Linked DNA regions of Notamacropus eugenii. The protein of the gene in region 4 interacts with the protein of the main gene of each other region in a pairwise test. Links are inferred from orthologs where the notes say so. Each region holds a gene or a part of one and is shown on either strand. Other genes may lie near its edges.

Evidence for each region.
Region 1: the proteins of RTN4 (region 4) and SNX15 interact in binary tests that used the Homo sapiens proteins (3 or more experiments, as listed by UniProt). The two-hybrid records come from large-scale screens. The link is inferred for Notamacropus eugenii from reciprocal best matches to the Homo sapiens genes RTN4 and SNX15.
Region 2: the proteins of RTN4 (region 4) and CERT1 interact in binary tests that used the Homo sapiens proteins (3 or more experiments, as listed by UniProt). The link is inferred for Notamacropus eugenii from reciprocal best matches to the Homo sapiens genes RTN4 and CERT1.
Region 3: the proteins of RTN4 (region 4) and SYT16 interact in binary tests that used the Homo sapiens proteins (3 or more experiments, as listed by UniProt). The link is inferred for Notamacropus eugenii from reciprocal best matches to the Homo sapiens genes RTN4 and SYT16.

What each region holds. Positions count from the first base shown.
Region 1 is NC_092873.1:17,764,116-17,771,190, forward strand, and holds the start of SNX15 (sorting nexin-15), read left to right. Parts: upstream 1-4,072; 5' UTR 4,073-4,406; coding exon 4,407-4,676; intron 4,677-5,711; coding exon 5,712-5,747; intron 5,748-5,923; coding exon 5,924-6,044; intron 6,045-6,485; coding exon 6,486-6,601; intron 6,602-6,722; coding exon 6,723-6,879; intron 6,880-7,075. Other genes in the region: ARL2 (ADP-ribosylation factor-like protein 2), read left to right, coding at 1,334-1,398, 2,075-2,185, 2,267-2,429, 3,135-3,215, 3,296-3,430. UniProt on the Homo sapiens protein: May be involved in several stages of intracellular trafficking. Overexpression of SNX15 disrupts the normal trafficking of proteins from the plasma membrane to recycling endosomes or the TGN.
Region 2 is NC_092875.1:468,909,123-468,916,553, forward strand, and holds the start of CERT1 (ceramide transfer protein), read right to left. Parts: upstream 3,004-7,431; 5' UTR 2,597-3,003; coding exon 2,501-2,596; intron 1-2,500. UniProt on the Homo sapiens protein: Shelters ceramides and diacylglycerol lipids inside its START domain and mediates the intracellular trafficking of ceramides and diacylglycerol lipids in a non-vesicular manner.
Region 3 is NC_092872.1:305,332,852-305,339,825, forward strand, and holds the start of SYT16 (synaptotagmin-16), read left to right. Parts: upstream 1-3,971; 5' UTR 3,972-4,264; coding exon 4,265-4,277; intron 4,278-6,974. UniProt on the Homo sapiens protein: May be involved in the trafficking and exocytosis of secretory vesicles in non-neuronal tissues. Is Ca(2+)-independent.
Region 4 is NC_092872.1:651,279,895-651,287,094, forward strand, and holds the start of RTN4 (reticulon-4), read left to right. Parts: upstream 1-4,190; 5' UTR 4,191-4,500; coding exon 4,501-5,068; intron 5,069-7,200. UniProt on the Homo sapiens protein: Required to induce the formation and stabilization of endoplasmic reticulum (ER) tubules. They regulate membrane morphogenesis in the ER by promoting tubular ER production.

The DNA.
Region 1 (7,075 bases), on a different chromosome or scaffold from region 4:
CTCTTGGATGCACACGTCGTCCATCTGATAAGGGGATGGACAGAGCAGCTCCCGAGCCGTGGGCATGTTCTTTCTGCAGCGTGCCTCCGACATCAGAGGAGGAGAAAGTCCCACCGCCCTGCGGACAGACACCCTGACCTGGACAGGCCTTTGGAGCTGGCAGAGCCCAAGTTACAGCCCAAGAGATCTGGGTTTTTCCTTATCGCTAAGATGCCAGCAGGGTTTGGTAAGGGGGTCCCCAAAAGGTGTCCTCTAGGTTAAACAAAGGACCACTAGGTCCAGGCTCTTCTTAATCCAAACTATAACAATCTAAAGGTTATAACAAAGGGTTATCAAGCTCTGGCCTTTACTGCCCAAAACCCTCCCAGGCTCTAGACCAGACCCAAAGCAGGGGGGCTGGGGGAACCCTGCAGGAGAGTCTTCAAATGGATGCAGGGGCAGCTGCGCGGGGGGCGGGGCTGTCCCGCCCAGCACTGGTAGTGGGGGGCCCGGGGTGCAGAGGGCTACCCCCCTCTGTCTCTACACCTTCCTCCCTCCGCAGTCAGGGACCCCGGCCTCTCCTGGCTCTGGGCAGCCTCCCCGGCCGACCCCTGCCCCCCGACTTCCTGCTAGCCCCAGCTGAAACCCCACTTTCTACAGGGGACCCTCCCCAGCGCCTCCCTCCGTGAGCGCCTCCCCATCTACCCTGCCTCCAGCCTGCTTTGTAGGCACCAGCGGGCACGTGGTCTCCGCATCAGATGGTAAGCGCCTCCAGGGCAGGCACCTGCCGGGCCTTAGGTATGCCCGCTGCTTTAGTTCTCCGCAAACCGCGGGCACTAAATAAGGAGGGCTTGACCCGACACGGCCTTCTGGGAAATGGAGTCCAAAGACTCTCCCGGCGCCTCATGGGAAGTGAAGTCTTTGTTCATTTCCTTCTCCCAAGATCCAGGGGTAGAGGTGGGAGGGAAGCCCATCCGCCGGACCTCGAGGACTAGGCTGACCCCGCTCAGGGGAGGGCCTGCCCTTGAACCCAGCTCTGTGTCCAGCCCCCTTCCACAAGTAGAGGGGTGCGATGTGAATCGGGATGCACCTCTTCGCGGCGCCCTCCCGTCCCGGGCCGGCACACCAGGGGTTAAGCGGCGGGGGCGGGCCAGTTTGGGCCCAGCCGCCCCCGTAGCCCCGCCCCCGCCCAGCAGGGCGGTGCCTTCTCCTGCCGCCGGCTCCGGCGAGAAGGGGCGGGCTCAAACAAGGGCCGAGCCAATCGGGTTCCGGTGAGGCGCGCTCTAGCCAATGAGAGGGGGGAGCGGGGTCCCGGACTAGGAAGGCGCAGCGGCGGGGAGGGGAGGCTGGGACCATGGGGCTCCTGACCATCCTGAAGAAGATGAAGCAGAAGGAGCGGGAGTTGCGGCTCCTCATGCTGTATCCTCGAGCTCCCCGAACCCTTGGGTGGCCGGGGGCCAGGGAAAGGCGCGGGCGGGCGCTACCACGCGCTCCCCCGGGGTGGGGGGAGGGAGGACGCGCCGCTCTGGGCAGGATCGTACCAACTACCCTGCGCGGGTTACGTAAGCCGGGATCGACCAATAGCCCTAGGAGGCGGTGGGTTGGGAGTTGGTCCGTACCATCCGGGACAAAAACGGGGGAGTGCAGGCTGTAGGGACTGCCCCCACGCAGAGGGGGGTGCGGCTAGAAAAGTGGAATGGGCCAACTACCCCGGGGGCATGGAAGGGAGCTCGCGTGCACTGGCGGGGAGGCGGGAGATGGAGGGTCCGGGATTTGGGCTAGACCCTAGCAGACTGGATCTCGGGAGTCCCCGGAGCACAAGTCCAGCTCGTTGCCTCCTTGTGTGTCCCAGGCACACAGTAGGAGCCTCATGAATGCATGTTGCCTTCCCTCTCATAGGGAGCTTCACTTTGTGCTAGGCTAGTTCTTCGAGGGCAGGGCCCGAGCGGGTTTCTTACTGTTCATCTTGGTGCCCCTAGTGCCAGGCACACAGTAGGTGCGCACCTAGTTTGTGGAAGGATCGAGGTGACCTTGGGCAAGTCACTTCCCTCCCTTGGGAGGTCCTGCCTCCGAGGCTCCTTAACTGCCGCCCCAGCGGTCTGGACAACGCAGGCAAGACCACCATCCTAAAGAAGTTCAACGGGGAGGACATCGACACCATCTCGCCCACCCTGGGCTTCAACATCAAGACCCTGGAGCACCGAGGGTGAGGGACGCCCCTCCCCAGGAGCTGGGCGCACAGCGCGGGCCGGCCGCGCCCATCCACCCTCTCTCCCTTCCTCCTCAGGTTCAAGCTGAACATCTGGGACGTGGGAGGCCAGAAGTCCCTCCGCTCCTACTGGCGCAACTACTTTGAGAGCACAGACGGCCTCATCTGGGTGGTGGACAGTGCTGACCAGCAGCGCATGGAGGACTGCCGCCGGGAGCTGGAGAGCCTCCTCGTGGAAGAGGTGCGCCAGCCTGGGGGCTGTCAAGTGGGAGGAGTCTGAGGAGGAAGGCCCTGCCTTCTCACTTACCAGAAAGGGACACTGAGGCACAGGGAAGAAGGAGCTCCTGTCTTTGGATCTCCACCACATGACAGAATGCCTAGCTCATTGTAGGGGCTTAATAAATGCTTGCTTGGTTGAAAAAAAGATCACAGGTCCACATTAACTTGAATCAGCATACATTCGTTTCCTGCTGTTTACCAGATACTGCGCTAGGCAGCAGAGATTAGCAAAGATATGAGAAAGTCCTCAGAGAGGACTGGTCTAGTGGAGGGTAAGACAAGTGCAGAGGCAGAACAGGAAGTAAGCGTTGTAAGATGAGGTTATGGAGTGAGGAGGGCAGATGGCCAGAAATGGAAGAGAATGAATTGGGGGGGGGGGGGTGCAGGGAGTCACATGACAAAGCTGGAGAAGTAGGTGGGGACTGGGATGCCAGGCAGCCCAAGACTGGGCGAGATGCCCAGTCCAGCTCTTTGCTCAAAGACCAGGCAGCTGTTTCCTGTGGACTTTTCTTGTCATCGTATCTCACTGACAAGCGCCCACAACCCCATTCACGTCCCTTTCCCTAATGCTGCCCTGGGAGTGGTGCTCACAGTGGCTCATAGGCTGGCTAGCTCAGAGCTCCCAGGTTCCTTCCTGGCCCTACCACCACCTTTCTTTCCCTCTTAGCGCCTGGCTGGAGCCACTCTCCTGATCTTTGCCAACAAGCAGGACCTCCCTGGGGCTCTCTCATCTAATGACATTCGAGAGGTGAGTTGAGGCCTCCAGGTGGCTGGATGGGATGGAGGGTTGGGAGGGCTGCTGTCTGAGAGTCACTCTCCCTCCTTCAGATCCTGGAGTTAAATGCCATCCGCAGTCACCACTGGTGCATCCAGGGCTGCAGTGCAGTGACGGGGGAAAACCTGCTTTTGGGGGTTGACTGGCTCCTGGATGACATCTCCAGCCGAATCTTCACTTCAGAATGACCCCTCCCCTCCTTGCCCTGGGTCACCGGTTCCTGGACTGACCCCTCGACCCAGCTGAAGGGCAGCCCCTCCACACATCTCCAGCTCCCACAAACCATCCCTCTGTCCTGCTTCTCTCTGATCCAGGGCCCCCCAGGGAGCCAGGACTGGGGGGGGGAGGAACGGAAGCCCAAGGGACCCCAACTAATGCCTCCTCCCTGTCATAACCAGATGCTGCTTGTGCTATTTAACAGGAGAGACCCTGCTGCTCTGTTGGAGAGCCTTCCTCCCTGGGGAGGAGTGGCCCCCATTCCCTATTTCTGTCCCTCCTGCAGCTCTCTGTCTGTGGATTGGGGGAGACTCCGGGAGGGCCCCTTCCTCCGATCAGCTGTGGGAATAAAGTCCTCTGTGCCCCTCGCTCCTGGCTGCTCTTCTTCCTCCCAGGCTCCTCTGCTGTCAAGGGAGCTTCCACACTCCCTCCCCATGCTCCCAAAGAGAAGGGTGGCCCACTCTGCCAGCAGTTGAGGGAGGGCAGGAAAGGCCAAGTCCAGAAGGCAGCTCTAGAACTGTCTGGTGTGGATGAGGACCTGGAAGAAGCTGGGCCTGCCCCGCCACCCTCCAGGCCCCTGGCCTTGGCCCAGCTCGCAGTAAACCAGTGGCCTAAAGTGATCTGGTTCTCAGTGGCCCTTGAAGTGTTGGGGGAGTGGGCTTGGAGGGGGGTGAGGGCCTCAGCGGCCCCACCAGGGGACTCATCAGTGCCAGCCTGACGTCTTCCGCCGTCCGGGGCCTCAGTTTCCCCACGTGGGAGTGGGCTGGGTTTTCCCTGAAGTCTATCTCAGGGCCTGATATGCAGTAGGTGCTTAATGAATGCCTGTTGCCTGGAGTCCAGGGCACCGATGGCCTTCCCCAGGCGCCAGGGGGCGGCCTTTCCTACGGAGTAGCTCATTCTACGCCTTTCCAAAGAACAAAGAGTTTTAGGACCGTCCCTGCGTGCACCATGGAGGGGCATAGGAGTCAGGAAGAGAGGCCAAGGAGAGCCTTGCGCAGGCGCAGAAGAGGCGGTGCCCGTCGGAGGCTGGACGGGAGGGGAGGGGAGGGGACAGCGTGGAAGAGGAGGCCCGTGGCCAGGCCGAGGCGCCGGAGTCCTGCGGACTCCGGCTCCTCGAGGATGTCCCTCAAGGCTAAGGACGACTACCGGCGGCTGTACACAGTGTCGGACACGCGGACCCATCCCAAGGGCTACACGGAGTACAAAGTGACGGCGCAGGTGAGTGACCGCAAAGCCCCTTTAAGAGGAGGAGGAGAAGAAGAAGAAGAAGAAGAAGAAGCCCCTTTAAGTAGGCGGGGCCGGACCGTTCCATCCTCGAGAGTCAGGCAGGGGTGGAGCCCCTGAGCGAATTTAGGACTATACTAATTTACGGGGGAGGGAGGGAAGACTAATCTGGGTTCCTTTAACGGAGACGCAAGGGGCGGGGCCAGCATGGGCGGGGCCAGCATGGGCGGGGCCTAGCTGCAGAGTTGTTTGGCTGGGGTTACCTCCACCTTGCGCAAACAGGTTAATAAAGAGCTGGGAGCTGCTGCCTCCCTTCGCGAAATGACCCCCGTTGCGGCCCGGAACACACCGGGGGCGGCTGGGGAGGGCGGGGCGCGTTGGGGAAGCCTCAGCTTCCTCCTCTGTGAGGCGGGCACCCCCTCCCAGGGTGGCTGAGGCAGCCGAGGTCGCAGGCGGTGAAAGCACCCCCGGAGGTCCGAGCCCCGCTTAGCGTCCCCGGCGCTTAGTAGGACTTGAGCAGCGCCGCTTCCTGGCCGGCTTCTCCTCCGCTCACTAAGTCATTAATGGCGTCGGCTGGGGGGTTTTCTCCCCAAAACCTCCTGTGCTAGGGCCCCCGGGGCCCCACGCACCTGTCCCGCTCAGTGCCCTGGGGGCGATCGCCGAGCCCCACCCCCTCCCTGGGAGGCTGCTGCTCCCTTGCCCAAGAGGATCTGAGTCTGGGGGCCCTCCGCGACCTACACGTTTTCCCATTTGGGGGGGAGGAATGCTGTCATCCCCATTTGCAGTGGAGGTCAGATGATCTGCCCAGGGTCACCCAGTTGGCACCTCAGACTGGATTAGAATTCAGGTCTTCCTCCATCTAGGATCCACTCCCCTCCCCCACCAAATGGCCTCTTCTCCCCAGTTATTGTGGAGGCAAGGGTGGCCTTGTCCTCTGATGTGGGGGGGTCTTGGGGGGCTGAGCCTGGGGCAGGGCTGGGGGGCCAAGCGGGTTAGCCCCTCACTGGCCCTGGCTTTCTTCTTCCTCAGTTCATCTCCAAGACGAACCAAGAGGATGTCAAGGAGGTGACTGTTGGGGTGGGTGGGGGGCGGGTACCCTTGTCTCCTGCAGGCAGCCCAGGGTGGGGCGGGGGGTGGAACGGCCAACTGCCCGGATCCAGTCCAGTCCCCTCTGGGCCTCAGTTTCCCTGAGTGCAAAAGGAGGGAGCCAGACGGTGGCTTTGCGTCCCGCTCGGGCCCAGGTGGTCATCTGGAAACGCTACAGCGACTTCCGCCGCCTGCATGGGGACCTGGCCTACACCCACCGAAACCTCTTCCGCCGCCTGGAGGAATTCCCAACCTTTCCCCGGGCACAGGTCTTTGGTGAGTGTCCGAGGCCGGGCCAGCCCTCAGTCGTCCAGCCTCCACAGTTGTCTGGCCCCAGCAGCTGTCCAGCCCTCAGACATCCAGCCTCAGTGGCTGCTTTGTCCAAAACTGTCCTGGACCACAGGGCCTGGGGGTGGGCAGTGGGGAGCACTGGCCCAGACTGCGTTGGCCACCCCATGCTGGGTTGTGACCCCCAGCCAGAAGTGGACTCTGCCCACCTCCCCCAGGGCAGCTTTGGCCTAGCCTCCACACTAATCATGGGATGGGGCTGTGTCATAGTCAACGGAGAAACACAAGTTTTGATCCAGAACAGAAGAGCGTTGGTGGGTGGTTTGTTTGGTGGGGGCCTGATGGTGTGCCGGTGTAGGCCCCCCAGCCTAGCCACTGCCAGGGGGAGGGGAAGGAGGCCTAACGGCTCTGGCGTGTCCTTGACCACAGGCCGATTCGAAGCCTCAGTGATTGAGGAGCGGCGGAAGGCGGCGGAGGCCATGCTGCGCTTCACTGTCAACATTCCTGCCCTCAACAACAGCCCACAGCTCAAGGAATTCTTCCGTGTACGTGCCTCCCCCTCCCTGGGAGCCATCTGGTGCCCATCACTCCTGCCTTGGTCTTCCCCTTGGGTGGATTCAGGGATCTCTGAGCACTGCTCCTGGATCCAAACTCAGTCCTTTGTAGGGTGGGGACGTGACCCGGCCCTTAGAGCCCAGTGACCTGCACATCCTCCCGCCACCCCTGGTGCCCACATCGCCCTCGGAAGATGCCCACCTCCCCCAGCCTCTGCCAGCGGAGCGGCTGGGCCGGGAAGAGCCTGAGGACGAGAATGAAAGGCCAGGTACTGAGGCAGGGAAAAGCTGAACTCAGGTCTGCAGGTGCTCAGCAGACACGTAGCAAGGGCTGCCCTTCCCCAATACCCCCATTTCTGATAAGTGCACCCCACTGGGGGATAGCCTGGAGTGGGCCAGTCACCTGACTGCTCAGGGCCTTGGTTTCTAGATTTGTAAGATGAGAAGGTTAGACTGGACCAAAGG
Region 2 (7,431 bases), on a different chromosome or scaffold from region 4:
AAATGCCTAGAGAATTAAGTTCAAACTTCTCTCTCTAGTATTTAATGTCCTTCATAATGGAACTCCATCTTATTTATCCCAACCAGATTATACTACCCTCCAACTTAATTTCTGCCAAACTAGATCTCATCTGCTGTTCAAAGCAAATTCCACCAAGTTTCCCTGAATTTCACATAATGATGACCCCATATGTATGGTGTCCCCACATGTAATGCCACTGGATCCTACACTACCACTTATATATTATTGTCTCCCCCAGTGAATCTATCAGCTTCCTGGAGGCACAGAACATGTCTACATTTTATAACTCAAACATTACCTAAAAAAGTTTAAGTCACATAGTACATACTTCAAATACTTCTTGAATAGTACCATTTCCACAAATTCCTTCTGAGGTAAAGTGTAGTCTACACAAACCACGAATGCAAATAAGATACTCACCTAGCTTTACAAATGCATTTACTAAATTCCAAACTTCTAGCATAACTACTTTATACTACTGAAAATCCCCACTGTACCTCACACAGATATTCATTACAACTGTTGATAATCAGAATTACTGTTGGGAGAGTCAGGTAGGTGAAACTATATCCTTGTTAAAATACTCCAAAACTGCTTAAGAAAATTACCTACAATTTCATGAGAAAAGTGCTTTCTTGACAGTTAAGTGTAGTTTCTTCATTATATATAATTTCAAGGCAATACAAGGTAGTCTAGGACTATACCTGGGTACAGGTTCGAAAACCTGGATTCTTCAGTTATTAGTTCCTTGATCCTGAATAAATTAATCTGTTTGACCCCCCCCATCCCCTCCTCTGTAAAATAAGAAAGGTAAAGTAGATGCTCTCCTGAGCCCCTTCCACTTCTAACATTTGTTGACTCAATACAGAAACTGAATTTGAAAATAAATATTTTTAAGGCCTTAATTTCTAAAATTTTTTTTGAAGGGGGAAGGCAAGGCAACTGAGGTTAAGTGACTTGCCCAAAGTCACACAATCAGTAAGTGTCAAGTATCTTTAGACCCCATTTGAACTCAAGTCCTCCCGACTCCAGGGCTAGTGCTGCATTCACTGTGCCACCTAGCTGCCCCCTTTAACTTCTAAAATTTGAAAACTGAACCTTAACCAGAAAAAGATTAAAAAAGTTTGTGAGAATATTCTCTCAGTTTACAAGAGTGTGTGCGGGGGGTGGCGGTGGTGCCGAAGCCATTAAAATCATTTGTACATTTTGTTAAGGACTTAAAACTAGCGTTTGGTAACCCCTCCAATTTAGACAGAGGAGGCAGCAGTCATGTGGAGGGTTGTGCCCACAATCAGTCATAACCGTGGGGGCAAGAGGCCGAGGTAGACAGGTGTATTTGGGCATGTGGCTGCCTGCGTGCGTGCGTGGAGATTGTGCCTAGAAGCAGATCTTCATCCCACACAATGAAATACTGTGAGATGTTGCTGCTCACGCTTATCAAGAGCAGGAGACAATCAAACGTTCTCACCGTCTCTACTCACATGGATTTTGCTTTGGCATCCCCAGCACAGTCCCTGGTAAACAGTAAGTGCTCAATAAACACCTGACTGGTGGGAAGCGCTGGTTATTATCCGGATATCCCAGTAAAGTTTTTCCAAAGCCTATTCAAGTGCTCAGAAGCGTCCGTTCAGCACCCTGAGATGAGAGACCCAGGGATCCTAAGGTGGGGTGCGCTTAGGGCTCCAGAAGCTTTTCAGCGTCCCAACACAAAATACCCTGTTCAGTCTGCCAGGACCTGAATCTCGCTTTTTAAACCTCTTTCACTCCAGTCCATGGAGGGTAAAGATACCCCGAGTCTCAGGACGCCACGAAATAACCCCCAAACCAGGACCACACGGTTCCCCAGAACTACGAACTATGGAAGGAAGCCCTGGGGGTTTCCCAAGGCTCCGGGGCTGCACATGACCTGGCACCCCAAGACTAGGACCACAAGTACCAGCCCGAGTCCTTCGCGAGGCCCGCAGACACCCCCCAAGTCGGCGCGGCCAGCGCCCCGAGGATCCCCGCCCAGGAGGGTCGGGCTCACTCCCCCCTCCGCCCCCCATGGATCGCCCCAACTTAAAGGTCGGCTCGGGTCTGACGTGTCCCAGGTTATTACGAAGGTTTCTCGGGTGTCTGTCACGTGCACACGAGAGGCGGGGCGGGGGCGGGGCAGCTGTCTCCAGTCCTACCTGGGGCTAACCTGGCAGGCCCCCCCCTCCTCGGAGCTCTGCCCCGGCCCCGCCCCCGGCCCGCACCTCCGCGGCCTCCGCCCCGGCCCCCAGCACGACACCTTCCGACGTTTGGGGGTGCGGCGGCAGCGCCCCCACGCCGGGTTCTCCCGGCCCTGACTATGACACAATTCCTGTCACCCCCCCGGCTGCGGGGGAGCCCCGCTATCCGCCCCGGCCTCCCCAGCGGCGGGGACCCCGCCCGGCCCGGCCCACGCCCCCCGGCCCCCGGCCCGGCCCTCCCCGGCCCGGCCCTCCCCGGCCCTCACCTTGCTCAGCACCCCGCAGAGCTCCACAGGCGGCCCGGACTCGGTCTCCGGATCCTCCTCCGAGCCCGACGAGTTCCAGCTCTGGTTATCCGACATGGAGGCGCGACAGCCGAGCAGGAGAGCGGCCCCCGCGGCCTGCGCTGCGCCCGCACAGGCGCCCAGCCCCCGGGAGGGAGGGCCCGGGGTCCGCCCCGGCGCCGGGGGCAGGAGGAGACGGCGCGGAGCCCGAGCGGCCGGGCGCCGAGCGGACCGGGGACGGGGACGGGGAAGGGGAAGGAGAAGGAGCGGCGAAGGCAGCTTGCCCTTCCAGCCGTCGGCCGCCGCCGTCCCCCCGCACTCGCCGGGCGCCGCCACCGAAGGCGCTCCCCCGTCGGTGCCGAGGTCGGGGGAAGAAGGGGTGGAAGGGAAGAAGGTGAGGGGAGGGAGGAGAACACGCAGCTGCAGCGACGGGGCTTCGCTCACACCTCCGCCGCCGCCATCTTCCCGGCTCTGGACACTATTTACCCTCCCCCTTCTCTCTACCCCTCCCCTTCAGCCCTCCCATTCTCCCCGCCCCCTCCTCGACCCGCCCACCAGCGTGTGACGCAACGCGCACGGCTCGAGCCGGCGAGGGGCGGGGCCGCGGCTCTGGCGGAGGCGGAGAGACGGCCCCTAATCCCAGTCCGCCTCCCGGCTTCTGGTAACCGGGAAGATGCGAGGCAGAGAGCGGGGTTGGTCGCACTGCATCTTGGGAGGTGTAGTGTTCCGCCGAGCGCGCTGCTCGTCGGGAGGTGTAGTTGCGGTTCTGAGGCCCTTCGGTGAGTGGATCCGGCGGGGGTGTCTCTTTATACTGGGGCAGGGGGTGGGCATCCTTCGCGGCCCCTGGATTCTCTTCCCACACATACCCTCTTCTCAACCCCTGGCCCAGAGCGTTTGTGAGGAGCCGGCTGGACCGGACCGGATGGGACCGGACGTGAGCTCCTTCCCGTAGGTTCTGGAGAGGCCGAGGCACCCTGAACGCCTTCGGAGGGCTCTGGGCGCTTACGCCGCTTCGCGCCCCACCTCCCTGGGGGCAGCCAGATGCCCCGCGTAGGCCCCGAGCGGCCGGGCCCCGAGCGGCCAGGCCCGCTGTGCCCGGGTGTCCGTGCGCGTGCGCACGCCTGGAGCCCCGGTCGTACGGCGGAGGATGCCCGGGCATGTAGGGATGCTGCGGGAAGCAGGTGACAGGCAGAGGCGAGCAGGGTACCACTGGCGCCTGAGCCTCTCGCGTGGGGGCGTCTCCGGGGCACGATGCCTTGCGCCCTCCGGGTGGTTAAGTCAGACGGTGCAGCTGGCTTCCACCCCCCAGCCCCTCCCCCCCGGGGCTCCTAAGGGGTGAGCGGGAGTTGGCACCCTCAGTATGAAGTACAAGGCTGGCATTAGGGCAGAGTGCCCGGGCTGGCTTCAGAGAGCACTCGTGAAACTGGAGATGACTGCCCTTAGCCACCCCCCCAGAGCAGACCTTCTGCCCCAGGATGGTCGTTGCTTACATTTTGTAGCCTAAAACATGCTTTATTTTGTGCCTTGTTCCCCAAAGCTGATTTGAGGGTGCCCGGGATGCTGGTCGACCTAAACTGTGTTTTTTGTGGAGCCTCAGAATTACGTGTTTTGGCTGTGTCAGACTAGAACCGCCTTACCCCTAAACTCCAGAGGAAACGCGAACGTTTCTGGAAGCCTTGTTTATGGGGGTGTGTGTGCGTTGTTCAAACACTTCAGTTAGCTGTATGACCGTGGACAGGGTGTTGTGGCAGTTTTACGGGAGCGCCTCTTGTGCCTCTCTTACCCCATGGTCGGTTTTGATTTCCTGACTTAAAAATCATGAGTTTCGGTTATGTTTTCTTTCTGGCTAATATGTGAGAGATACCTGTTTTACAGTAAAATCTTCAGGTTGTATTCACATAGTGTGGAACCAAGTTCAAATTAGTATCTTTATTGAACTGAAAGCTTATAAAAATAAACCTAGAGCATTAAAAGTCACAGCTGTCATTCAGAAAATAAGATGGAAGAGCTCTTTCATCTTCCCTGATCCAGAATGTTTTTCAAGCATAAGAGATATTCTGATCAAATTTTGTTTTTAACTGCGTATTTACTGATGCTGTTACCAAGCTGGATTTTTAAAAACATATCTCGTATTTAAAATTGTGATTTTTTTTCAAATAGACAATGAGTTATTAAGAAATTGATTTCATAATAGTTCATATTTATAGAAGCATCATATATTTCTTTAAATTCTTATATTTTGTGCATCTTAAGTTAATTATACCTTTGTGACTATCAGCAGTTAGAGCTGTGGTAGTGCTTACTCAGTGTGAAGTTACTTTGTGTATTAATATGAAAATTTTTTTAAAGGTTCTTGCCGCTTTGTTCCTCTATATAATTAAACTCTTTTCAGGTTTCCAAGTACAAGACCTCTTTACAGTGATTTGAATACATAACAATGAAGATTTATTTTATTACTGTCTTACTATCATCTTGAAGAAATTACAGTAGAATTATCTTTAATATGAAAGTATTATATAGACTTCCTATCTTATATAGTAAGGGAGAACCTACAGTCATTCTCCTATTTACTAACACCAGTTCAACAATATTTCTCTCATAACTGTCATCCCTGCTAAACATAACTACAAAAACACCCCTTCCTTTCTCTCTACCACCTCCTTCCCACTGATTGCTGCAGACCCTGTTTCCTGTGCCTCTCACCAGCCTCTCACTGCCCTTTCCTTGCCCTGAGTTTTACTTCCTTGGGGTAGTCACTCGCCACCAAAACATCACTTATCCAACACTAGGTAAAAGAAGAGGAAAGGAACTTTGAGCAGTAGGTCCCTTTTTCACTCCTCTCTCTCATTGAAACAGTTCTAGCTTCTCACTAAAAAGGAGACATGAGACCGTTATTTTTAAAAATACACTTTCTTGATGCTTTCGGTTTTTATATCACTTTCATTTTCTACCCCCACCACACTCCACCAGTCACATTCTCCTGTGACAAAGAAAAACAATTTTATAAAGACTGAATCTGACACTGTGTAAGATTCTGGCCTAATATTAGGTTCTTCCACCTCTGCCATGAGTGAGAATTGATGTTTCATTATCTCTTCTCCAGGACTTTGATGGGCTTTTCATTTAATTAGAATTTGACTTCTTATTGGTGGTATTTTTATTACTGTAGTCACTGTGTACACTGTTTACTTTGGGTCATTTCATACAGATTTTCCCACATTTCTCCGAATTCCATGTCCATCATTTCTTAGTGCACAGTAATATTGTATTATTTTCACGTACCATAGTTTTTGTAATCATTGATCACTTGAAGGATAATGACAGTCTCCAGTTTGTTGCTACCAATATTTATAGCAGAGTGTTCCTCTAAATATTTTTCATATATTGAACCTTTGTTTCTATCTTTGATTTCCTTGGGATATATAACTACTAGTGGGATTGCAAGATCAAAGATATAAACAGTTTAGTTACTCTTCTTAAATAATTCCAAATCAAAATCCAGAATGGCTGGACCATGCATGCCACAGCTCCCCCAGCAGTTTATCATTGGGCCCTTTCAGCATGGACTGACTGTTCCCATCTTTTGTCATAGCATAGCCATGTGTTTGTGTGAAGGAACACATGTAGAGACCAGATTTATGTACCTATGTATATGAATGGGAAACAATATATGTAATGGCATTATAGAGGGATTTGTAGAAATAGTTGTAGACATTTGTGTTTATACATGTATGTGTATTTCAAAAGGTAGAATGTTCAGTTGTATAAATGTGTTAGTGGATAGCTATCTTTTTAATACTTGGCTGCATAAAGATAAGCAGCTGTTAGAAACATTCATCTGTGCACATTTGTGCAAACTGTTAAAGAAGCTTCTTCTGTAAGTATGTGTGTAAATATTTGTATCCACAAAATGGGCGATCACGTATGTATGCAGGTATATTTGAGGGTGACCGACAGCCGTGGTAGGACACAGAAAAACACTTGGGAAATTGGAAACCATCTCCGGTCCCTGTTTATTCCAGTCCCAGATCAGAGGAGCCACCTTCTATGTCTTGGAGATGAAAGAAGTTTCTGTTGTCAGGCTGTCATGTCCATGGAGGCAGAATGTTCCTGACTTACCAAAGTGGAACTGGAAACATACTTTCTCATAGAAACGTTGTTATGAAATAGCAACTAGGTCCTATAACATTATTAGTACTAAATCAGTAGTGGCTACATTACTGATTAAATAAATAGACTTCTTTTTTTTCAGCCTGGGAACTTATTGCTGTGTTGATTGTCTGGAAAAGTATGAGGCCCAAAGAACATACTCAGAAAGACCTGTTGGAACATAACTTGTTTATGGACTTGGGACTGCCTTATGTTGATTTCTTATTACTCATAGAGAATTTTAAAAATTGAAGGAAACTGAGAGATCATGTAATCTAACTTTTTCATTTCATACGTAAAGAAACTGAGGCCCAGTGAGGTAAGGGGGTCTTGCCCCCAAAGTTACACAAATATTAAGTGTCAGAGAGTGGCTCAAATTTAGACCTTCTGAATCAAAATCTGATACTCTTTCTACTGAACAACCTGTAGTATATGCAGCTGTTAAGTAGCATATGCCTAACAGAGTTTAGGTAGAAGAATTTTATAAAATATTTATAAAATATTTAAAATAAAATTTGAAATGTATTTAAATTAGATGACTGGCCAAAATATATTATATACTATATCTATATCTATATCTCTATATTAGACTAGATAATTATCTCTTTAAAACAAAAACATCAATTTTCTCCAATATATCTTTTAAATAAGGAAAAAAGAAAAGGCTTATTGTTGACCTTTTATCAATCACATGTAATTATTAATACTTAATTCTATATATGCCATAATTATGATTTGTATATTATACATAACATATTGGCTAT
Region 3 (6,974 bases), about 350 Mb from region 4:
GAGCCACACAAGACACCCCTATGTAACATGTGGAAGGCAGTCTTTTCTATATGGTAACAACTTTTAGTGACTATCATGCTATTAAGGTGAAGCAAAATATAAATCAAAGAGATGTATTTTTGCCAAAGGTGTTTTCCAGTGTCATGGAAGCTATCTAGCATAGTCTCTAACAGGTGGCAGGGTCTTATGGATGTCATGGTGTATGGATGATCTTGTGATGATTGTAGAATATGCAGAATATGGCAATGTTTCCATAGCTATTCAAAAAGTTGAGTTTAATTATCTATGCAAAAACCCCAAGGGAATGAAGAATTTCTATTGTCTAGACTGCAATATGGAGTTGGAAAGACAGCCCCTAAATGTATCAGTATGCATATCTTATATATATATATACAGTGAGTTGGATTCATAGTTAGAGGAGAATAGGCTAGCTTGCTTTTGGGAAATTGCACAGTGCTTTTTTTTTTTAATGACCTCAAGCTTCTCCCCTGAGATAAAGACTCATCTTTTAAAAATTATATAAATAATATATATATATTTTTTCAGTCAGTAAAAATCTACCTTATTTTCTCCCCCAAACAAACCTCCCTGCCTAAAAATGAGAATTAAAAAACAACACCCTGTTGCAAACATGGTCAAACAAAACATATTTCTGCATTGAAGGTCCATCTTTTTAACAATAATATTCTCCTAGTGGTGCTGGATGTCTGTGTGGTATGAAAGCCAACAATTTCCAAAGACTTAAAATTGAGTGTTACCTGAAGAATATGAGGTGCATGGTGGTTGGGAGAAGGCTATACATTGTTACTAGTGAAGAATTGCATAAAAAAAGCATTGTAAACATTGTTGTCCAAGAGATAATAACTGTAAAAAGATGTGGACTGGTCATGTGACAAGAATGAGGGATAGTCCACAAGCTCCGCCAATATCCATTCATTGTCAAGATATTAAGGAGGCCTCCACCATTTTTGGTGCAGCACATGTTGAGGATTACTGAAAGGTCATGAACCAGAGATGTGAAGAAGGACAGAATAGTTTAAAAAGGTACCCACATTTATAAGATCACAGATCCATTAAAATAACAAAATATCAATGTTGACAAGTTTCAATTCATACAATGATATTTCCATTAGTTGGTTGTTGGACAATATTGTTGTTGTGGTTTGTCCTTCCTTCTCGAAGAGGACCATGCTATCAGGGAGATGATGATATGACTTGCAGTTGACTTTGATTTGAGTGAAGAAGGGTCGTGTAAGGTCACCAGCCTCACTTTCTCCTCCTGAGCCATCTGGGTCTAGCGGCCAGATATTCATCAGGGTGACTGGAGATGGCCCAGGATGCAATAGTGCTAGGCCTGAATCAGGAAGACCCATCTTCCTGAGTTCAAATCTAGCCTCAAACATTTACTAGTGGGAGGTAAGTGCTATTACTATGCATATTTGACAAATGAGGAAACTGAGGCAAATAGAATTTAATTAAGGCTAGGTTGCACCGTGGAGAGAGTATTGGACCTGGATTCAGGAAGACCTGATTTCAGATCCAGCCTTAGACATTTACAAGTTGTGTGACCCTGGAAAAGTCACTTAGCATCCATTTGCCTCAGTTTTATTAACCAGTAAAATTTGAATAGCAACAGCACCTACCTCTCAAAGATTTGTGGAATAAAATGAGATAACTTTTGTAAAGTCCAGGGCCTGGCACTTAGTAGGTACTTAATACATCTTCATTTCCTTCCTTTTATATCCATTCCAATGCCCTTTCCTTTGTACTATCATGCCTCAAATAGATCAATTTAAATGATTAATTATTACTCTGACTTTTCATGTCTATATTTCATGAAAGAAACATACCACGTTTTCTAAACTTTTACTTTAGTTTCTGAGTAAACCTCTTTTTGCAAACTGGGGAGAAGAGGCATAAGACCTAGGATTTGAATAATCTCATATTTAGAGTATCCATAACAAGATAATGTTTATGAAAAGTCTGAAAACTGCCTTTTCCACTATTTAACCATTATCCCTGTGGAATTAGAAGTAGTCCATATTGTACTCAGGGACCGTTTTTCATTTTTCTTTGTTTAATGTGTTGTTATAGCCAAAGAATTCACCATCTAACGGTCAACTTGCTGGTGAATGACCCCTACGTGCTTAGCTAGTTGGGCCTTGGATAGTAAACTGAGTTTCTTTGACTCTGTCTTTTGAAAATACAAATGCAAAAATATTGATTTCAAAATAACTCTTGTTAGGTACAAGTCTTATGTCACCTATGTGTTAAGAAAACCCAGGAGACTAAGATTATTGCTTCATATAACAGTGTTTAAAGGAATTCCTTTTTTTGTGGTGACACCATGTGTGTATACATCAGTATAGTCGTATTAAAAAAAAAATTCAAGGCTTATACCTATTGCTTAAATCTAAGGAACCAGTGTACTTCTCAGCATTGTTTTATGTGTATTCTAAATTCCTCTCTCCTGCTTGGCATTTTATATACCTGAATTGGAAGAGTGGAATGTTCTGGAAAATGGAACCTTGAAATGTGATTTCACTAGAAATACACCAAAATCTTTTTTTTAACCTTGATGACTTAAAGGTGCAGGTTATTTGTGATTTGTTTGTGGATCTCTCAACTCCCGAAAATTTTTTACTGAGAGTATAGTTTGGTTTGAAGAAAGGATTCTGTTGACTCTTTAATAAGTGTTCAATACAATAAAAATGGATGCTTAGTGTGGATATTTTCATAATTAACTTTTGGTCAATTTTTACTGCCATCATATTCTCCTGCTACACTTAGTATTTAGATAAAGAATAAAGATTTAGATCTTTGCTGATAAAACTCTTACTCATCTGATGTTCATAATGCCTAGATTATTTGTTTTAATACGTCATTACATCATTAGCCTAGAATTTCTTGGCTGTTAATATTATGAATTTGGTTAAAACAGCAAGTATAATTATAGAGTACATTCCCAGGAGTACTTTTCCCATCAAGATGAGCTCTGGTCCAATCTTTACTAGATTACTGAGTCTGATTTCTCAGCTTCACAATGTAGAGGAAAGTAGATAACTTGTAAGAGCCCAAAGGATGTTTACAGTTTCAAAAAATAGATCTGTAAGAGAGAGTCTAACTAAAGTCGGTGGCACAGCAGATAGAGCATCAGTTCTGAAGTTAGGAAGATTAATCTTTCTGACTTCAAATCTGTCTTCAGACACTTACTGTTTGACCCTGAGATTGTCACTTAGCCCTGAATACCTGAGTTCTTTGTCCGTAAAATGAACTGGAGAAGAAAATGACAAGCCACTCCAGTATGTTTGCCAAGAAAATCCCAGATGGACTCACAAAAAATCAGATATGATGGACCAACAGTAAACTGTACATACCCTTTGATCCAGTGATACTACTACTAAGCCTATACCTCAAATGGATAAAATAAAGAGGAAAAAAAAAACCCTCATCTGTACAAGAAAAAGCCGTGCTTTTGTAGCGGCAAAGACCTGGAAACTTAGGGGTGAACCTGAATCAGGGAATGGTTGAACAAATAATGGTATATAAATGTAATGAAGTGATATTGTGTTGTAAGAAACGATGAAAAGGAAGGAGAAACCTGGGAAGACTTATATGAACTGATGCAGAGTAAAATGAGCAGAACCAGGTGAACAATTACACAACTACAACATTGTAAAGGGAAACAACCCCGAAAGACTGAACTCTGATTTAATGTAATGACCAGTTGCCATTCCATATGCCCTTATCTATTGGGTAAGAACAAGCAAAAGGGGTGTCACCTCTTTTTTCATCAGGATTTTGAGGGGTTTCGAAAGCTGTAAACAAGCACAAAGCTGGGAAGGCATCCTCAAAAATTCTGGGGCCAGAAAATCCCTCAAGAATCTCCCAGTTGCATTGTTTGGGGGAGGGAGGAGGGGACGAAGAGGATGAAAGGAGGAGAGAGAATGCGAAACTGGAGACATAGATCCCTCACTGGGCTTGCCGAGTGAGGTGTCTGGCCGCTCTTGCTCCTTCGTGGGGTCAGCCCGCTGTGCCCCACGGCTGCTTCCTCCAGCAGCTGCCACCCGGGGGAATTGCGGCGGCTGCGGCCGCGCTTGGAAGCCAGGACGGAGAGGGCAGAGCAGTACTAGGAGGGAACGCTGCCCGGCTCTTGGCAGCGGCCGAGGACCGGGGAAGGAGAGCTCGCGCTCGCACAGACCCGGGCGGCCTTCAGGCTCCCTGAGAGCCCAGCGCTGCGCAAAGCCCTGTGCCGGGCTAAGCCATGGCTACTGACAGTAAGTCTCCCGACAATGCAGAATTGGGATGAGGGGACTGATTTGGGTAGGCGGGCGTCGTTGAGATGCCAAATCCTTCCACTGATCCCTTCCCCCATTTGCCTCCAGCTCCCCGCATCTGCCTCTCTGCCCCCGGGAGTTTGGGAAACAAGCGAGAGATGTGCTACCTCCCTGGCAACCAGTGCTTGGCACTGCATATATATACATCACCGAGGCTGCTCTGGCCCAGATGCATCTGAGTGTGGGAATGTGCTCTGTCCTTTGGGATGTGTGTGTGTGTGTGTGTGTGTGTGTGTGTGTGTGTGTGTGTGTGTGTGTGTATGTGTGTGTGTGTGTTGGGGGGTGGGGGATGATACTTGGAAACCGTGTTTGATGCTTTCCACGGTGAATTGAAAGTGGCTGTATAGCGCTGGACAGATACCCTGGTTGGTCAGGTTGAGAACCTATAGTTCCTCTGAATGGCAGATCCCCAGGACGCCCTCCTATCTTCCCACGTATCAGTTAGACTCCTGTTGTCTTTTCCGGTTTGAGGTTTGTCTTGGCCACAGAGAGTTCTTGTTTGGGTTCCTTGTATATATCTTTTAATAAAGTTAATAAGAAAATAAAATAAATAACGATAAGATATTTAATAAAAGTATTGACACCTTTGAGCCTTGCTTTGTGCACAAGCCCGAACCCTAAATATTTTCCCCAAAGCCAGGATCTTGTTGGCTAGGAAATGATTAGTAGTGAATTACATGTGGTAAGTAGAAACAATGCTGAATGGAGGAGGGCAAGGTCATTGTGCTGGCAAAGACATTGTTGGCACTTAGCATCATTGGTTACTTTCAGAGCTTTTGAAAATATAATCACATTTATGAAAGCCCATTAAGTCAAAAGCATACAGAAAGTATACAAGAAACATTTATTAAGGAGCCACTGTGTGCAGAACACCTAGCTACATGTAGGGCATATATGAAGACGTGATAGATGTGGTTCCTTACTTTAAAGGTGCTTATACTTCATGAGGGGATAAAATACCAGTTCATATGTTTTAATATGCAATTTACATAAATGAGGACCAAGAGTCCGTATTTATATTTATGTACATAAATAGAGACAAAGCAAGTTTCTTCTGTGTAGGTCCTTAAAGGATGGTTCTTATTCCTTTGGAGGCTCAAGGAAGAGGGGACTCAAGGAAGGCTTTTTGGAGGAGGTGGCTACTCCTCTGTGACATGAAGACCTGACTGGCTCAAAGAAACCCATGTCCTGTGGTGTGAACTGGGGTATTAAGTATAGACAAGAGCTGTAGTTTCTAGGAGTAGACTTAGGGAACTCTGGGTATGTTCAGCTGTTGGAACAAGTCATCCTATAGGAGAATTCATGTGCCCTCTAGACTTACTCAAGATATTCTGTTTTAATTAAAATTTTCAATTTTATTACAAATTTGGTAAACTTCAAAAGATGTGAACATGTCAATTTACAAAGAAAAACAAAAAATAGGATTGTGTATGAAGCTATGAACTTCTGTTATGTATGGATATCCCCTCACTAGGTATAGTTTGTGGGTTATTTTTTTTTAACATAACTGAAATTTAACATGGCAGCTCAAACCCTGCCCTGCTTTTCCATGTTCCCTTTTGAACTTCTTACTGTTCTCTGTTTATTTTAAATGGCTCACATATACTATTTTCTTTTTTTCTTTCTCTTTTGTATTCCTAAATGTCATTTTATTTTCACTCCAACTCTGGAAGGCAGGTACTATAATTATCCCTGTTTTACAGATGAGGAAATTGAGATAGCTTCTAAGTTTCTGAGGTTGAATTTGAACTTGTTTTCCTGGCTCCAGGTTTAGTCCTTTATATACTGGGCCATCTATTAGCTGCCTCTACTAGTGATGATCTGCAGCATTTTTTTCACATGATTGTTGATAGATTTCATTTCTTCATTTGAGAAGTGACTTTTCATATCTCTTGACCATTTATCTATTGGAGAATGGCTCTTGTTCTTATATTTTAAATCAATCCTCTATGCTTCTTGAATAGCACACATTTATTAGAGAATGTTGCTATACATATATTAAAATGTTTATTTTCTCCTTTTAACTAGATTAATTTTATTTGCAAGGAAATTTTTCAAGGTTATTTGATCAAAATTGCCTATTGATTAACTCTTCTAGTTTTTAAACAGTATGGATGGTTTTGAAGATTACTACTTTGTAACAGTTTCAGATGGAGGCCTTCTTCCTCTTTTCCTTTTCCCTTTTAAATTATTTCCTTTGGGATTCTTGATGTTTTATCCCTCTGCAAAATTTTATAAAAATAATACACACACTGATGAAGGTATGAAAAGGAAATATAGACAAGGCTTGGGAAACAATACTCTATAGAAGACTACACCTTTAAAATCATGCAATAGACAAAAGTAGGCAGAGACTGCTGTGATTATTGTTCGTTGGCTATAGAAAGAATTGATTTAGGTAGATCAAGATGCCATCTTAAAGGCTCTCCTGCAAGCTGGCTTCTGAGCCTATGTCAAAATCATTTAAGACTCTTGGAAAGATGTAAAAAAAAGTACAGGAAGGGGAAAATGGCCTCTAGTTATAAAAGCATTTATAGTAGCTCCTTTTTAAAAAAAATGTACTTCATTTATTTATTTATTTATTTTTAGTTTTCCCTTTTACTAGATTTTGAGTTCCAAAATTTTCCCCCTTCTCAA
Region 4 (7,200 bases):
AGAAAAATTGCTGGGAAAACTGGAAAGCAGTTTGGCAGAAACTAGGCATAGCAACCTCTCATACCATATACCAAGATAAGGTCAAAATGGGTAAATGATTTAGACATAAAGGGTAATTTTATAAGCAAATTAGGGGAGCATGGAAAAATTTACCTGTCAGGTCTATGGATAAGGGAAGAGTTTATGACCAAACAAGAGAAAAAGAAGATCACAGGAAGTAAAATGGATAATTTTGATTACATGAAATAATTTTTTTTACACAAACAAAACCAATGCAGCTAAAATGAGAAGAAAAACAGTTAACTGCGAAATACTTTTATAGCAAGTTTCTCTGATAAGGGCCTCACTTTTCAAGCATATAGGTAACTGAGCCAAATTTATATATATATATATATATATATATATAAAAAGAACCATTCCCCAATTGATAAATGATCCAAGGATATGAACAGGAAGTTTTGATTAGAAGAAATTAAAGCTATCTGTGGTCATATGAAAAAATGCTCAAAATCACAACTGACTAGAGAAACGCAAATGAAAACAACCTTGAGGTACCACCTCACATCTATCAGATTGGATAACAAGAAAGAAAAAGGAAAAGGCAAATGCTGGAGGAGATATAGAAAATAGGGACACTAGCAAATACCATTATTGGTGGAGTTGTGAACTAGTCCAACTATTTTGGAGAACAATTGGCAACTATCCCCAATGAGCTATAAAACTATGCCTATCCTCTGACACATCAATACTACTACTAGGTCTGTATTCTAAAGAAATCAAAGAAAAAGGAAAAGGACATATATGTACAAAAATATTTATAGCAGCTCTTTTTGTGGTGGCAAAGAATTAGAAATTGAGGGAACGTCCATTAATTGGAGATTGACTGAACAAATTGTGATATATGATTGTGATAGAATACTATTGTGCTGTAAGAATTGATAAGCAGGATGGTTTTTAGAGAAAAACTGGGAAGATTTATATAAACTGATGCAAAGTGAAGTAAGTAGAACCAGACCATTGTATACTATAACAGTAATATTGTACAATGATCAGCTGTGAATGACTTAGCTATTTTGTCATACAATCATCCAAGACAATTCCAGAGGACTTAAAATGAAAAATGCTTTCTCTAGAGAAAGAACTGATAGAGTCTGAATGCAGATCAAAACATCCATTTAAAAAAAAAACTTTTTCCCCTCTTTTTTCTGTCTGTTTTCTTTTGCAACATGGCTAATCTGGAAATATATTTTGCCTGACTGCACATGTATAAGCTATAGCAAATTGCTTGCCTTTTCAATGAGTGGGGGAGGGGTGGGAGGAGGGAGAGAATTTGGAACTCAAATTTTAAAAAAAGAATTTAAAAAATATTTTAAAAAAGAATTAAAAATTGTTTATGCATGTAATCAAGAAAAGTTAAAAAATAGATAAAATAAATTCAACATGTAACTTTAAAAAAGAGTATTCAGTACAAAAGGCCTCCAAAGAACTCTTCTATCCATCAGAGAATCTAGTATTATGCTGGGCACACAGTAGGTGCCCACTAAACATTTGTTGAATTTATTTTTAAAAAATGTTTTATTCTGAACTTAATACCAAATAAGATGAGCATTTTCATATAGAAAGAATAGAAAAAGAAGACTGTACATGATGCTACAAATATATATGCTTTACAGATTGCTCTTTTTAAAAAATATGTAATAAGTTCAACATGTTATTTAAAAAACAACAAAAAAACCCTGTGCCCAAAGGGCTAAAAAAAAGTGCACACCCTTGGACCCAATAATACCGCTATTAGGTTTATATCCCAAAGAGATCAAAGAAGAAGGACCTACATGTCCGGAAATATTTAGAGTAGCTCTTTTTGTGGTAGTAAAGAATTGGCAAGTGAAGGGATGCCTATTAGTTGGAGAACGGTTGAAGAAGTTGCTTTGTATATGTTTGTTTGCATGGGTCCCTCATTATGTTGTAAGCTCCTTGAAGGCAGGGACTGTCTTTTGCCTCTTTTTGTATTTGTGTTTGTATTTGTATTTTTGTATTTGTGTTTAGCACAGAGCCTGGCACGTATTAGGTACTTAGCAAATGTTTATGGAATTAAATTCTCTGAGCTAAACACTCCCATTCCTTCAACTGACCAACTGTGATATAAACTGATATCTCTTCACAATTCTGGTTGCCTTTTCACCTGTCTCCTAAAACTGTTTTTAATCACTTAAAAGGCAATATCAATGGGCACTGAAGTGACAAGTATTAAGGGCTATCTGGCTATGCCATGTCCTATGCTAGGACCCTCTCAAACTTAGAGCCTCCTTCTCTTCAAGGTCCAGCTTGGGCATCACTTGTGCCATGATGATTTCCCTGATCTCTCCATTCTCTAGCTGAAAGTGTTTTCTTTTCTCCTCAAATTTTCTTCCAGTCCTTTGAATCTCTCTTTTGTCCTTTTCACAAACTAACTTTGTATTCTACCTGTGTCCTTCTTGTACTCCCTGCTACCTCTGCTGTCATAGAAAGAGCACTAGTTCTAATTTCCAAACTTTGAGCAAGTCATGAAATATCCCTGGCTCTTGGTTTGCTCCACTGAAAAACAAGGGAGTTGGACTAGATGGTCCCAGAGGGCTTTTCTGTTGTTCCAGATCATTGTTCTGATGACAAGGGCAGTGGTGTTTTTCATCTTTTTATTTCCACTATTTAGGACAGTAGTTTGAACACAGTGGACCATCAATCAATCAGTCCACAAGACTTTATACTGGGCTACGTACTGGGGATACAAAACCACAAATGAAAGAGCCCTTGCATCTACATGTCCCAGTACATAGAGAAAAATCCAAAATGAATATGAGATAACTTAGGTGATGAGGCCACCGGCCCTTATATGCTTGTTGAATTGAATCTTTGAATTAAAGGCAAGTTACAATTGTGGGAAAGTCCTGGGCCATAAAGTTTCATAATTTATGTTTAATCTGCCTTAGAGAAGTGATCTGGCCAAGTAGAGAAGTTTATCATATTCACATACATGAAAAAGGATACATTCAACATTCCCTCTTCCTGGAATGAAACTGCATAGTCAATTTCAGCCTTAGTCAAGATCATTTACAAGAGTCATCTTTTGGACATGTTTGAGTTTTGTTTAAAAGATCATTCTGAATAACCAGCAATTCCCAGTGGCAAATGAGGGGGACACCTTGGAAATGAAGACTACATTGGAAACAAAGAAAATCTAAATTCCTAGCTTGGATACGTTGGAACCAGTTTCTCCAAATTTCAAGCATTGTAGAAAGTGAAAAGAGGGCCAAGTCCCCTCCTACAAATAAAGTGGAGCACTGAATGCACCCCGAGCTTCAGACCCCTGCAATCCTCAGCAACGTTTAATGACAAAACTGAGTTGGCTGGGAATGTAACGGGAATCTAGTTAGCTCCCAGACACAGGCAAAGGTCTTCCCGTTCGGCTCCCACCCTCCGCCCGGATGACTCATCTACCCATCATGTGAAAAGGCCAAGCGCAGGCAGGATGGGCTACAACGTCCTGGCAGGGAGGGAACCGCTCGTTCTCTCCTCCCCCCCCTCCCCCCCGCCCTCACCCCAAGGCTTTGGCGTCTTCTGTCTGCATCCCAGGTCACGGACTGGAGGGCACAGAGATTTCTTGAATATGGGGGTTAATTTTGGGGGGCTCCTCAGTGAGAGGAAGAAATCACTTTGGCATTTTTAAGTCTTTTAAGTCTGTCTTGTTTATTGAATTAAAAGACTCTCCCCGCCTCCAGGATCCATTACACCTATTATTTTTTCCAGTTCCGTTTTCTGCGAGGGAGGATTTTCCCTTCTCCAAATGCCTCCCAGTCCCCATATCGGGGTACTTCTCCCACCCTTTAACCGATAAACCTGCCCAGTCCAGGCAGCCAGCCCTAGCCCAGGCCAGCATCCCCAGGAGGCCTGGGCCAAATCCCCTGGTCCCTAAGCCCCTCCCATGGAACTTCACTCCCCTCCTCCCCTCCCGCGGCTAGAGTGGGGCTGCAAAGCCGGCCCCTTGGTTCCCCTTCTCGTTCTCATTGGACAGCTCTGCCCTTCTTTCCCCGGATCCCACCGCCTATTGGCTCGTGCTTTTCGCAGGCCCGGCCCTTCTTTTCGAGCCCCGCCCCGCCCCGCCCAGTGCCGCGTTTCTCCCCGCCGGAGTCGCGCCAAACTGGGCGGAGAGTGCCTTGGCTCTGCCATCTCGCCTCTCTCCGCCTTCCTCCTTCCCTCCCTCCTCGGTCTGGGCGGCGGCGGGGCCTGGGGGCTGGTGGGTGGCGCGGCGCAGCGCAGAGCAGCGCAGCTGCGGGCGCCGAGGCAGGAGGAGCCGACTCATTGTTCCGCAGCCGCCGCGCCCCTGAGCGCCTCTCTCTTGGAGTCTCTCAGTCACTCCCCGTCTCCGTTCCTCTCGGCGCTTTCCAAGAGAAAGCCCTCCCCGCCCCACAGCCTCCCTTCCCCGTCCCTCAGCCCGGCCGCAGCAGCATCCTTCCCAGCCCGGCCATGGAAGACCTGGACCAGTCGCCCCTGGTCTCCTCTTCGGGCGCCGCCGCGGGCCCGGCCCGGCCTCAACCAGAGTTCAAGTATCAGTTCGTGAAGGACCCAGAGGACGAGGAGGAGGAGGAGGAGGAGGAAGAGGAGGACGAGGACGAGGACCTGGAGGAGCTGGAGGTGCTGGAGAGGAAGCCGGCCGCCGGCATGACTGCGACGCCGCCGCCGTCCAACGCCGCCGCCGGCGCCGCGCCCCTCCTGGATTTCGAGAAGGAGCCGGTGCCGCCGGCCCCCCGGGGACCCCTGCCCGCGGTGCCCCCCGCAGCCGCCGAGCGGCAGCCCCGCTGGGAGCCCAGCCCGGTGTCCTCGTCCTCGCCGTCCCCGCCGCCCTCCGCAGCCGCTGCCGCATCCTCGGAGGAAGACGAGCCTCCTTCCCGCCCCCCTCCCCCTCCCCCAACGGCCGGCGTGGGCCCCCACCCAGATCCTGCGCCCCCTGCCTGGACCCCGAGCACCCCGGCTCCGGCCGCGCCCCCCTCCACCCCGGCCGCGCCCAAGCGCCGCGGATCCTCGGGCTCTGCCGGTGAGTGAGCGTCCGGCCCGGGGGGAGGTGGGGGAGGGGGGTCCCGCCCGCTGCCCTTCCCACCTCCTTGGGTGTGGAGCCCCCTTTCTGCCCCCCGAGAGCTTTGTCTGCCCCTGGCGGGAGCGAGGTCGGGGGAGGAGGGTGGGGCCGGGGGGGGCGATGGTGGTGGTAGTCATGGTGGTGATGGTCAGCCTGGCCTCCCTCCGACTTTATTGTCTGCGCCTGGGCGGCTGGGGCCATGTGCGTTCTGTGGCAGCCCCGCAGGGCCCCCACACCCTTCCCTTCCCTTTTCCCTCTTTGTTCCGGGCCGGGAGAGACCTCGGAGGATGCGTACATGAAGGAATGGAGAGGGGGGGCGGGGGGGTTGGATTTTAGCGTGGTGCCCGGACCCATGCTGGGGAAGGGGCGCCCTCCTGCCGCCGCTGCAGCCTGCCCTCGGCGGGCCCGCCTCTGGCTCCGTGGTGCCGGCAAGAGCGCCCCCAGCGGTGCCGAAGGGGCGGGGGGGGCCGTCGCCACCGCCCAGTTCTCCCGGACTGATGCCTATGATGTGGCGTCTGTGCTGGCAGCTGCTGGAGCCCTGGCTGGGTCGTGCCTTGGCAGGAGGGGCACACCTGCCGGCTGTCTGCCGCAGCGTGGGACGGGCTGCGGGAACCTGTACAGGCGCATGCGGTCCCTGAAAAAGCCAAAATGGTTGACGCTAAAAGACGAAGCAAAAAGCCCCCGAACCTGTGGATTCTTGGAATAGAACCAGCCAATCGAGAAAAATAACATTTTTGAGATGTCAGTGGTTCTTTGGGTAGTGGTAGATTTAAAGCATTTTTCTTCCTGTCCGGGCATTTGAACTGGTACTTCTCTTTGCAGCATTTTATTATGCAGGATTTTTTTTTATGTTGGATCGATTGGTAGCAATGAATTCTTTTTAGTTTAAAAGACTGAATTCTGTAAAGCTTGTGAAGATTACTTCAACTCTTATTTGAATACTTGAATATGTAGTACTTTTATTTTTTATGAATCTTCCATCTTAGCCAGGAGTTCCTTTTGAAAGGAAACTTAAGCTTGTTAAAAACTCAAGAAACTTCATTTGTTTATTGGCTTGGATTTTTTGATTAATACAAGATACTGCTGGGAAAGGAAGCAATTTTATCAGTATAGCAATTATGTAGGTGGTCAAGAACTAGCCATTGTAATCTCCTGCAGAATTTATTAATAAAACCATAGAACCCGTCAGGAGTTAAAGAGATTACCAAGATATTAACCTCATCTTACAGAAAGGGAAAACCAAGCCTCGGAGGAAAAGTGACTTGTTCAAGGTCACACTGTAGTATTTTTTTTTTTCCCTAATGAGAAACTAAGAAAAGACCTCTTTGAGTGTTTTGTATTTTGCTCAGACACAAAAGAAAATGTTATTAAGGTGTAAAGGATATCCAAATAATGAGGCTAGTCATTCACCTTCCTATATTTTGTATCAGAAACTTTTGGTTGTGGAGACTATCAGATATATTTGGGAGATGTCGGAAAAGATGGAAAAATAAAAGTATGAAAGAGAAGTAATTTGAAATATGGAGACAGTATACCTTAGACAAAAGAATATTATTTAGCGATCTTACAAAGACTTTTGGAAAGGAACTGAACTTATGAAAAGTGATTATTGATAAAACTCTCCTAGTATCCTGCTGACTTATGGGTTCAGAGGGCAAAAAGGGGAAGACTTGCTTATTTGGAGATGACCTTTATTCAGTTCTGTTTTATTAAAGATACACTGTGAAATATGCTGTGAGAGAGAGATACAAATTGAAAAATGACACAGAACCTGCCCTCTAGGAGCTTAAATTGGGGGGGGGGGGTGAGGAGGGGGGTGACATGAGGAATATGCAGATATTTGTAAGAGTGACATTAATATGACAAGTCCCACATAAATGAATGCCTGCAAACAATATTGAATCGAATTATAAAAAACATTACAGTCATCTTCACAGTTAGTGTTTGCCAAAACCAAGAGCAATTTATTTGGGAATGTTGTTTGTTCTTTGTTTCACATAGTATCATGTTTTATTAAACTAGCCCTGAAATCCATGGAAGTGTATAGAATTTAGAGCTGAATGAGACATTAGCAATCATTTACTTCATTTTAT